2 linked regions of the Ovis aries genome follow. The protein of the gene in region 1 purifies or fractionates together with the protein of each later gene. This does not show direct contact. Links are inferred from orthologs where the notes say so. Each region holds a gene or a part of one and is shown on either strand. Other genes may lie near its edges.

What was found. Proteins that work in one complex are often made in the same cells at the same time.
Region 2: the proteins of STRAP (region 1) and TGFBR1 purify together in Homo sapiens (affinity purification with western blotting; 3 studies listed by BioGRID and IntAct, with this or other methods). This does not show direct contact. The link is inferred for Ovis aries from reciprocal best matches to the Homo sapiens genes STRAP and TGFBR1.

The regions. Positions count from the first base shown.
Region 1 is NC_056056.1:199,628,634-199,632,607, reverse strand, and holds the end of STRAP (serine-threonine kinase receptor-associated protein), read left to right. Parts: exon of another isoform or gene 1-23; intron 24-1,565; coding exon 1,566-1,715; intron 1,716-2,075; coding exon 2,076-2,141; intron 2,142-2,831; coding exon 2,832-2,893; 3' UTR 2,894-3,404; downstream 3,405-3,974. UniProt on the Homo sapiens protein: The SMN complex catalyzes the assembly of small nuclear ribonucleoproteins (snRNPs), the building blocks of the spliceosome, and thereby plays an important role in the splicing of cellular pre-mRNAs.
Region 2 is NC_056055.1:48,711,236-48,714,883, forward strand, and holds part of TGFBR1 (TGF-beta receptor type-1), read right to left. Parts: intron 363-3,648; coding exon 237-362; 3' UTR 1-236. UniProt on the Homo sapiens protein: Transmembrane serine/threonine kinase forming with the TGF-beta type II serine/threonine kinase receptor, TGFBR2, the non-promiscuous receptor for the TGF-beta cytokines TGFB1, TGFB2 and TGFB3.

The sequences.
Region 1 (3,974 bases):
GGGTTCGATCCCTGGGTTGGGAAGATCCTCTGGAGAAGGAAATGTCAACCCACTCCAGTACTCTTGCCTGGAAAATCCCACGGATGGAGGAGCATGGTAAAGAGGGGTCGCAAAGAGTCGGACACGACTGAGTGACTTCACTTCACTTCACTTCACTTCGCTCACTTGGTTTCTAGCTATCCTGCTTTACAGTCCAATGAATTTAAGCTTGTTAGAATTGTACACAGAGAATAAAACACAGTTTTGTTTTGTTTCTTTGGGAAAACTGATGGATTGTGTTGGGTAAATGGAACCTCAGTGAATACACTAAATAGAATCTATTTTAATTGTTCAGTGTTCATAATTTATTGGTTGAATATTAAGTGACTTAAATAGAGATTCTTTCCTGTTTTTATTTAATGTCACTTTTCAAGTTTTAGAATGTTTGGCCACATGTTTTATTCTCTGAAGAAGAGAAATTATTTGCTGGGTATCTGAGGTTGCAATTGGTGAATATAGGACCTTGGACGCAGACATTCTTATTTCAAAATCTCAAATTCTTTCTACTCTTATGATAATTTTTTATATTCATGATATCACAGTTGTGATATTCCCTGAGAGAAGCTTGTGCATGAATGTCTTTGAGTTGAGAGGACATGGAGACAGAATAAGAACATTGGTCTAATAAACAGTTTCAAAAACTGGTAAGGTGATGAGGTGTTAGAAAGTAAGTGAGAAAAGCTCGGAAATAAGGATATGCCTTAAACAGAACAACACCACTACTAATGTGTACATTTTCTCATTAAACTCTATATAGGATCGGTATTGATCCTTTATCTTCATACTCTGATCGAATGACGAGTGGACTACAGCTCGTCTGCTAGGAGAGTATGAGAGGCAGAGTGTGTAAAAGAGCTCCATCTGGTGGTTCTCTGTAGTCATAGTAAGAATTGCTTCCTTGGTAAATAGTGAGTTTAGGATTTGAAAATGGGGATTGAATTGGTAGACTTTAGACTTGCTTTCTGTAGACTTGAAGGTGGGGTGTCATTTACCTCCCTTTCTTTTTCTTTTTCTTTTTTTTTTTTTTTTTTTGGTTTATTTTAAGAGATTTCTAGATGTCTTTTTAAAATTTGTTTTTGGCTGTGCTGTGTGCAGCCTTTTCATCTAGTTGTGACAAACAGGGGCTCTTCTCTGGTTGCGGTGCTTGGGCTTCTCATACTGATCTCTCTCCTTGCAGAATACAATCTCAGTAGTTGTGGATTGTGGGCCCTAGGGCTTTGGCTTAGTAATTGAGACATGCAGCTTAGTTGCCCCGCTGCATGTGGAATCTTCCCAGACCAGGCATCAAACTCATATCCTCTGCTTTTCGCGGGCAGGATTCTTAAGCACTGGACCATCACGGAAGTCTCCTTTATCTTTATTGGAACATGAAGTCTTGTTTTTTTGTTTTGTTTTGTTTATGATGAGAACGACTTTAGTTTTAATTCTTTGACTTTGCCCTCAGGAATTTCACATCTTCTCTAGTGTATCAATACTTAATGTCCTGTTTAAGTATTAAATTATCTAATACGCCTTCTCTTTCTCAGAATCCTACAAAGGACACTTTGGTCCTATTCACTGTGTGAGGTTTAGTCCTGATGGAGAACTCTATGCCAGTGGTTCTGAAGATGGAACATTGAGACTATGGCAAACTGTGGTAGGAAAAACATATGGCCTTTGGAAATGTGTGCTTCCTGGTAAGAATTTTTATTCATAATTTTGTATCATTTTTCATTATTGATTCTGTCTCTGTTTCTATCTTCTTTAGAATAAGGTTTAAGCAAAGAGTAGCCTGATGAATAAATCATCCATTAATCTCTGAATACTACTACTTATTGATCCTTACTAGTAAAGTAGACATGTTTTTAATAAAAATGCTGTTATTGATCCCAGGTAGTTACAGTTTGGATCTAAAAGTCTGAATCTGAAAGATATACTATTTTAGAATTACAGTTATTAAAAAAAGGTGTTTTGGTGTACTCTTCTTGTTGTTAAAATACTAGAACTTGCTCATGATGTTGTAATTCATGTAATCATCATTGCTTTTCTTTTCATAGAAGAAGATAGTGGTGAGCTGGCAAAGCCCAAGATCAATTTTCCAGAGACAGCGGAAGAGGAGCTAGGTAAATACTAACAGTTAACTTCTGTAGGGTCCTGGAGGAAGTATTAGTTAACTCATTGGCAAAATCTATTCAATGTAAGCATATACTTAAATAATTGAAAGTTTAAATATATGTATATTTATATATACATATAAATACATAAAAGATAAATCATTTTAAATACCTACTGCATGGTACTAGCCACGGAGATGTAGCATGGAGATGACTGATATGGTTACTCTTAAAGAACTTAGAGTTTGACTTAGGATGCTAAAATAAACTGTTGCAGTTGTAATTTTTACTTAACACTTGTTAAGCACCAAGTGCTCTTGCCCAAATATAGAATTATAAATTGTAATGTGCTCTGATCAAATATAATATTGATTTAAATTCAAATCAATAAAAGGGAGCCAGATCTTCAAAAATTTGACTTTAATTCAGTGTCTACTAGACAGTTGAAGTCACTGAAAATGTAGCCCCAAAGAGAGCCCGCCTAGAGCGGAAGAGCTCGCTGGGAAGTGGTCAGGTCTTTCCTTATTGCTTCTTAGTGGCCTGGGCTCCTCACTCGTGGCGTGTGTACTGTTCTCTTCTGCTTCCCCTCACCAGCACGCTTGAAAAACTTTTGATTCATTCCTTAATCTCACAGAAATATAGAGTGACTTCTTTCCTTCCTTAAGTCGACTAATGTGACTTCCTGTTTTTGAATTGTAGAAGAAATTGCTTCAGAGAATTCAGATTCCATCTATAGTTCAACTCCCGAAGTGAAGGCCTGAGCATCAGGCAAATGCCACAGACAGTACATAACTTACGGACTAAAACAAGCAGAGAAAAGCGTCAGCCTCCAGAGTTACTCTCTGCTTACAGCGACATGAGCAGTAAATAATGAGGAATATGAATTAGCTCCAGTGCTGGAACTAACCTACTTGGTGATACCTATGAGTGAGAACACAAGAGTATCAGCTAAAGGCAGGTGGGGTTATGCTCTTATAATGTGATGGTCTGTTGTCTTTTTAATGAGTATGTGTAAGCCAACATCCAATTTCTCTTATTACAATTAGATTTCTTGTAGCTGTTTATGTTATTATGAAGAGGGAAAGTATATTGGCCTATTTTTCTGACTTTTCCCTTAAAAGCAGAAAGCTGGGTTTGTTTGTTTTTTTTTTGCTTTAGTTATAAAGAAGAGGGAATACATGATAAAGTAACAGTTTGATTTCTCTTTTATTGTACACTGCTTCTGAACATCTAATTGTTTTTAGTTGTCTCAATAAAATGGCTCTAAAACAATGCTGTGTGTGTTTATTGGGGAAATTGATAGATTTGAGTAGTTGGGATGTTTTGGCTGTGCCAGGTCTTGGCTGTGGCACTTGGGATCATTTTTTCAGTTGCAAATGCAGGCTCCTAGTTGCAGCATGTGGGATCTAGTTTCCTGACCAGGGATTGAACCCGGGCCCCCTGCACTGGGAGTGTGGAGTCTTAGCCACTGGACCCCTGGGGAAGTCCCCATAGATTGTAGTTTTATAAATGGAAATGGCCAGAAAGTTTTTCTATATCATGTCAAGAGACCACCCAGGTAAAGAATCTGTAGTGGACAGAAATTGTTTCCTGATTTTGAAATTTAGTTACTTGCACTGGATTTTTGAAGTCTTCATGTGCTTTGGTAGAGTTTTATATACCTTTCTCCCTCCTAAGGTGAAGGTGAAGGTGAAGTCGCTCAGTCGTGTCCAACTCTTTGCGACCCCATGGACTGTAGCTTACCAGGCTCCTCCATCCATGGGATTCTCCAGGCAAGAATACTGGAGTGGGTTGCCATTTCCTTCTCCAGGAGATCTTCCCTACCCAGGGATCGAACCCAGG
Region 2 (3,648 bases), on another chromosome or scaffold:
CAACATTTTGTAACTGTCCTGGGAAAGAAGCGTTCATAGTGCACAGAAAGGACCCCACATGGCAGTTTCCTGGGTCTGAAGAAATCCTGGGATGTTTTAGTTCACCTTGTTACATCGTCATAAAAGGAAGCAATATCCTTCTGTTCCCTCTCAGTGAGGTAGAACAACTGACCTCCCAAATTAAAACCCAGGAGCAGATCTGAAGAAGAAGTAGAGTTCAGGCAAAGCCACAGAATTTACATTTTGATGCCTTCTTGCTGACTGAGTTGTGACAATGTTTTCTTAATCCGCAAAGCTGTAAGCCTAGCTGCTCCATTGGCATACCAACATTCTCTCATAATTTTAGCCATTACTCTCAAGGCCTACAAGAAAAGAAAAGAAAGATCATTAATGCATGCACCATGTTTCAACGACCTGGATAATAATCTTTCAGTTCAGTTCAGTTGCTCAGTCGTGTCCGACTCTTTGCAACCCCATGAATCGCAGCACGCCAGGCCTCCCTGTCCATCACCATCTCCCGGAGTTCACTCAAACTCACATCCATCGAGTCGGTGATGCCATCCAGCCATCTCATCTACCTGTAAATTTTCTTTTTAAACGACATACAAGTATTTCTGTTTCAGCATTATTTGTAATAGCAAATGAGTAAAGATGACCTAAATTCCCATCAGCAGGATACTGGTGCCAGCAGCTGGAAAGCAGATGGACAAAGGAGGATTTACTTGGCAGCCTGAGAAACCTGAATCCTCAAAAGAGCTGTGCAAAGCAAAGAGAACCTGACTCACATGAAATGGCCCCCAAAACTGAGGAATTAACTTATATCCTGTATCCCTGGGGTGAAGTTCAGGGTAAAAATAGAATCAGCCAAAGAAGCTGGAAACCCAGATACCTGCCCTGCCCCAACTTCACACAGCTGGGTGACCATCCCACCCCATCCGAACAGAAGACAAGAGGTTTCAATCTGAGAGAGCAGAACAGATTCCCGTCTTGGGGAAATAAGGGCAAAATTCCACACTGACAACACACTAAATGCTAAGACAGTAAACTTTCTCCCCAGAACACGGCCAGTGACTTTACATGGTCCTCCAGGTAAGAGACCAGAAGAGTCTTCAGCCCAAGAAGAAAAGCCTAAAGAGAGACATCAGTGGTTCCCCAAGGAAGCAATCCAGTTACTTCACCCTTAGACTGCAGTGGAAGATAAGCTCCATTCACGTGCACAAAGCTTCCTATCAGCTTTCAGTGCTGCTTTTATACAGAGCATGAGCTTGATCAAACATTTCAGGAAAGTAATATGAAATGCAGAAACTGACACAGAAAACAACACCTTGGAAAAACCAAAAGGTGTATAGAAGACAATATCAACAATCCATCATTAATATCTTCAGAGATTACTGATACTGGACTTATCAATACTTTTTTGGGGTTTTGTTTGGTTTGGGGAAAGTTTTATGAAACCACAAGATAAACCTGAGTGATAATAATAAGACCAAAAGATATAGGCGGATTCCTTTCCCAGAAAGTAGAGAAAAGAAAACAAAGAGATGGGTAATAGGAAGAAAAACACAAGAAAATCAGAATGCCTGTTCAGGATGTCTACATTCATAACCAGAGTTGAAGAAAAAGAACGGAAAATGGAAGGGAATACTTGAGGAAAATTTCCTAGAAATGAACATTTGTTTTCAGGTAAAAATGACCAAGGGTTCAGGACATGCATAAAATCATCCAGCAAACTGAGTGCCATAATCCAGATGCCATCCTACATGCATCTGGTAGGATACACTAACAGACACAGCAGTGAACTAACAGACGACATTTCTGCTCTCATAAAGCTTACGTTATAGAGGGCTAGAGCATATAATAAATAAGCAGAATGCATGGACTGTCCGTGCTAAGTGCTGAGGAGAAACATCATTTAGGGAAGGAGATAAAATATGCCAGGGGGGGGGGAAAGTGCTATTTTAAATAGATTGACAGGTAACGTCTCACTGACAAGGTAACATCTGAGCAAAGAGCTGGAAGAGGGGGATAAATGAGCAAACCAAGAAATGTGAAGACATGGGATTCAGAAAGGCAGTCACCACAGAAGAGGCAAGAGAGATCACAGGTGAAAGGTGAGGGATATCCCAAGATGAAAGCTGGCCTAGAGCCAGACTGGCTTTTCAGACTGGAAAAGGTCAGAGGGCTCTGAAAAACACTTCCGTAGGCATCCTATCAGTTTCAAATTCTCAATGTGTTTCAGCTACTGAGGGGAGATTTGTAAAACCCAAGAAAAGTGAAAGATTAAGTTAGTGATACAAAACTAGCTAAATCGAGAGAAAATCTAAAATGACAGTGATGGCATTAATTCAACATGCTGCGACAGTAATTGCAACTTGCATGTATGTTTTTAATGTTAACTACTAACTTCATGCTTAATTAGCCATCTGTTTAATATTAATTTGCTCTAATTTGCTTATTGAATGAGTGCATGAATAATTCCAGTTTGTAGTGTCAAGATGAAATTTTTCAAAGACAAAATCTAGGCCAATTTCATTTGTTAAACATGCAGGTTCTGTGAGCACACAATATATTTTGTCTGGGCCTGCATACTGGATTTCATTGGAGGCAGCCAAGGAACTCTCTTGATCTCACAAGTATCTAATGAAGTCTGCTGCTGCTAAGTCGCTTCAGTTGTGTCCTACTTTTAAGATGTAAAATAAACTACTTAAGTGAACAGCTTTTTATTCTTCCTATACTACAAAACATCAACTCCAAAGGGAAATGCTTTGTTTTACCAATATTATAATAGTATCATAATAATGGTTGTTAACTCAGTTGTGTCTGACTCTTTCTGACTCCATGGAATGCAGCACGCCAAGCTTCCCTGTCCTTCACTATCTCCCAGAGTTTGCTCAAATTCATGTCCATTGAGTCAATGATGCCATCCAACCATCGCATCCTCTGTCACCTGCTTCTCCTGCCCTCAATCTTTCCCAGCATCAGGGTCTTTTCCAATGAGTCAGCTCTTCACATCAGGTGGCCAAAGTATTGGAGCTTCAGCACCAGCCCTTCCAATGAAAATTCAGGGTTGATTTCCTTTAGGGTTGACTTGGTTTGATCTCCTTGTTGTCCAAGGGACTCTTCAGCACCACAGTTCGGAACCATAAATTCTTAGGCACTCAGGCTTCTATGGTCCAACTCTCACATCCATACATGACTACTGGAAAAACCATAGTTTTGACTATACAGACCTGTGTTGGCAAAGTGATACCTCTGTTTTAAATATGTTGTCTAGGTTTGTTATAGCTTTTCTTCCAAAGAGCAAGCATCTTTATTAATTTCATGACTGCAGTCACCATTCAGTGATTTTTGAGCCCAAGAAAATAGTCTTTCACTGTTCCATTTTTTCCCCACCTATTTGCCATGAAGTGATGATCCTGGATGCATGATCTTAGTTTTCTGTATGTTGAGTTTTAAGCCAGCCTCTTCACTCTCCTCTTTCACCTTCAACAAGAGGCTCTTTAGTTCCTCTTCACTTTCTGTCATTAGGGTGGTATCATCTGCCTATCTGAGGTTATTGGTATTTCTCCCAGCAGTCTTGATTCCAGCTTGAGGTTCATCCAGCCCAGCGTTTCACATGATGTGCTCTACACATAAGCTAAATAAGCA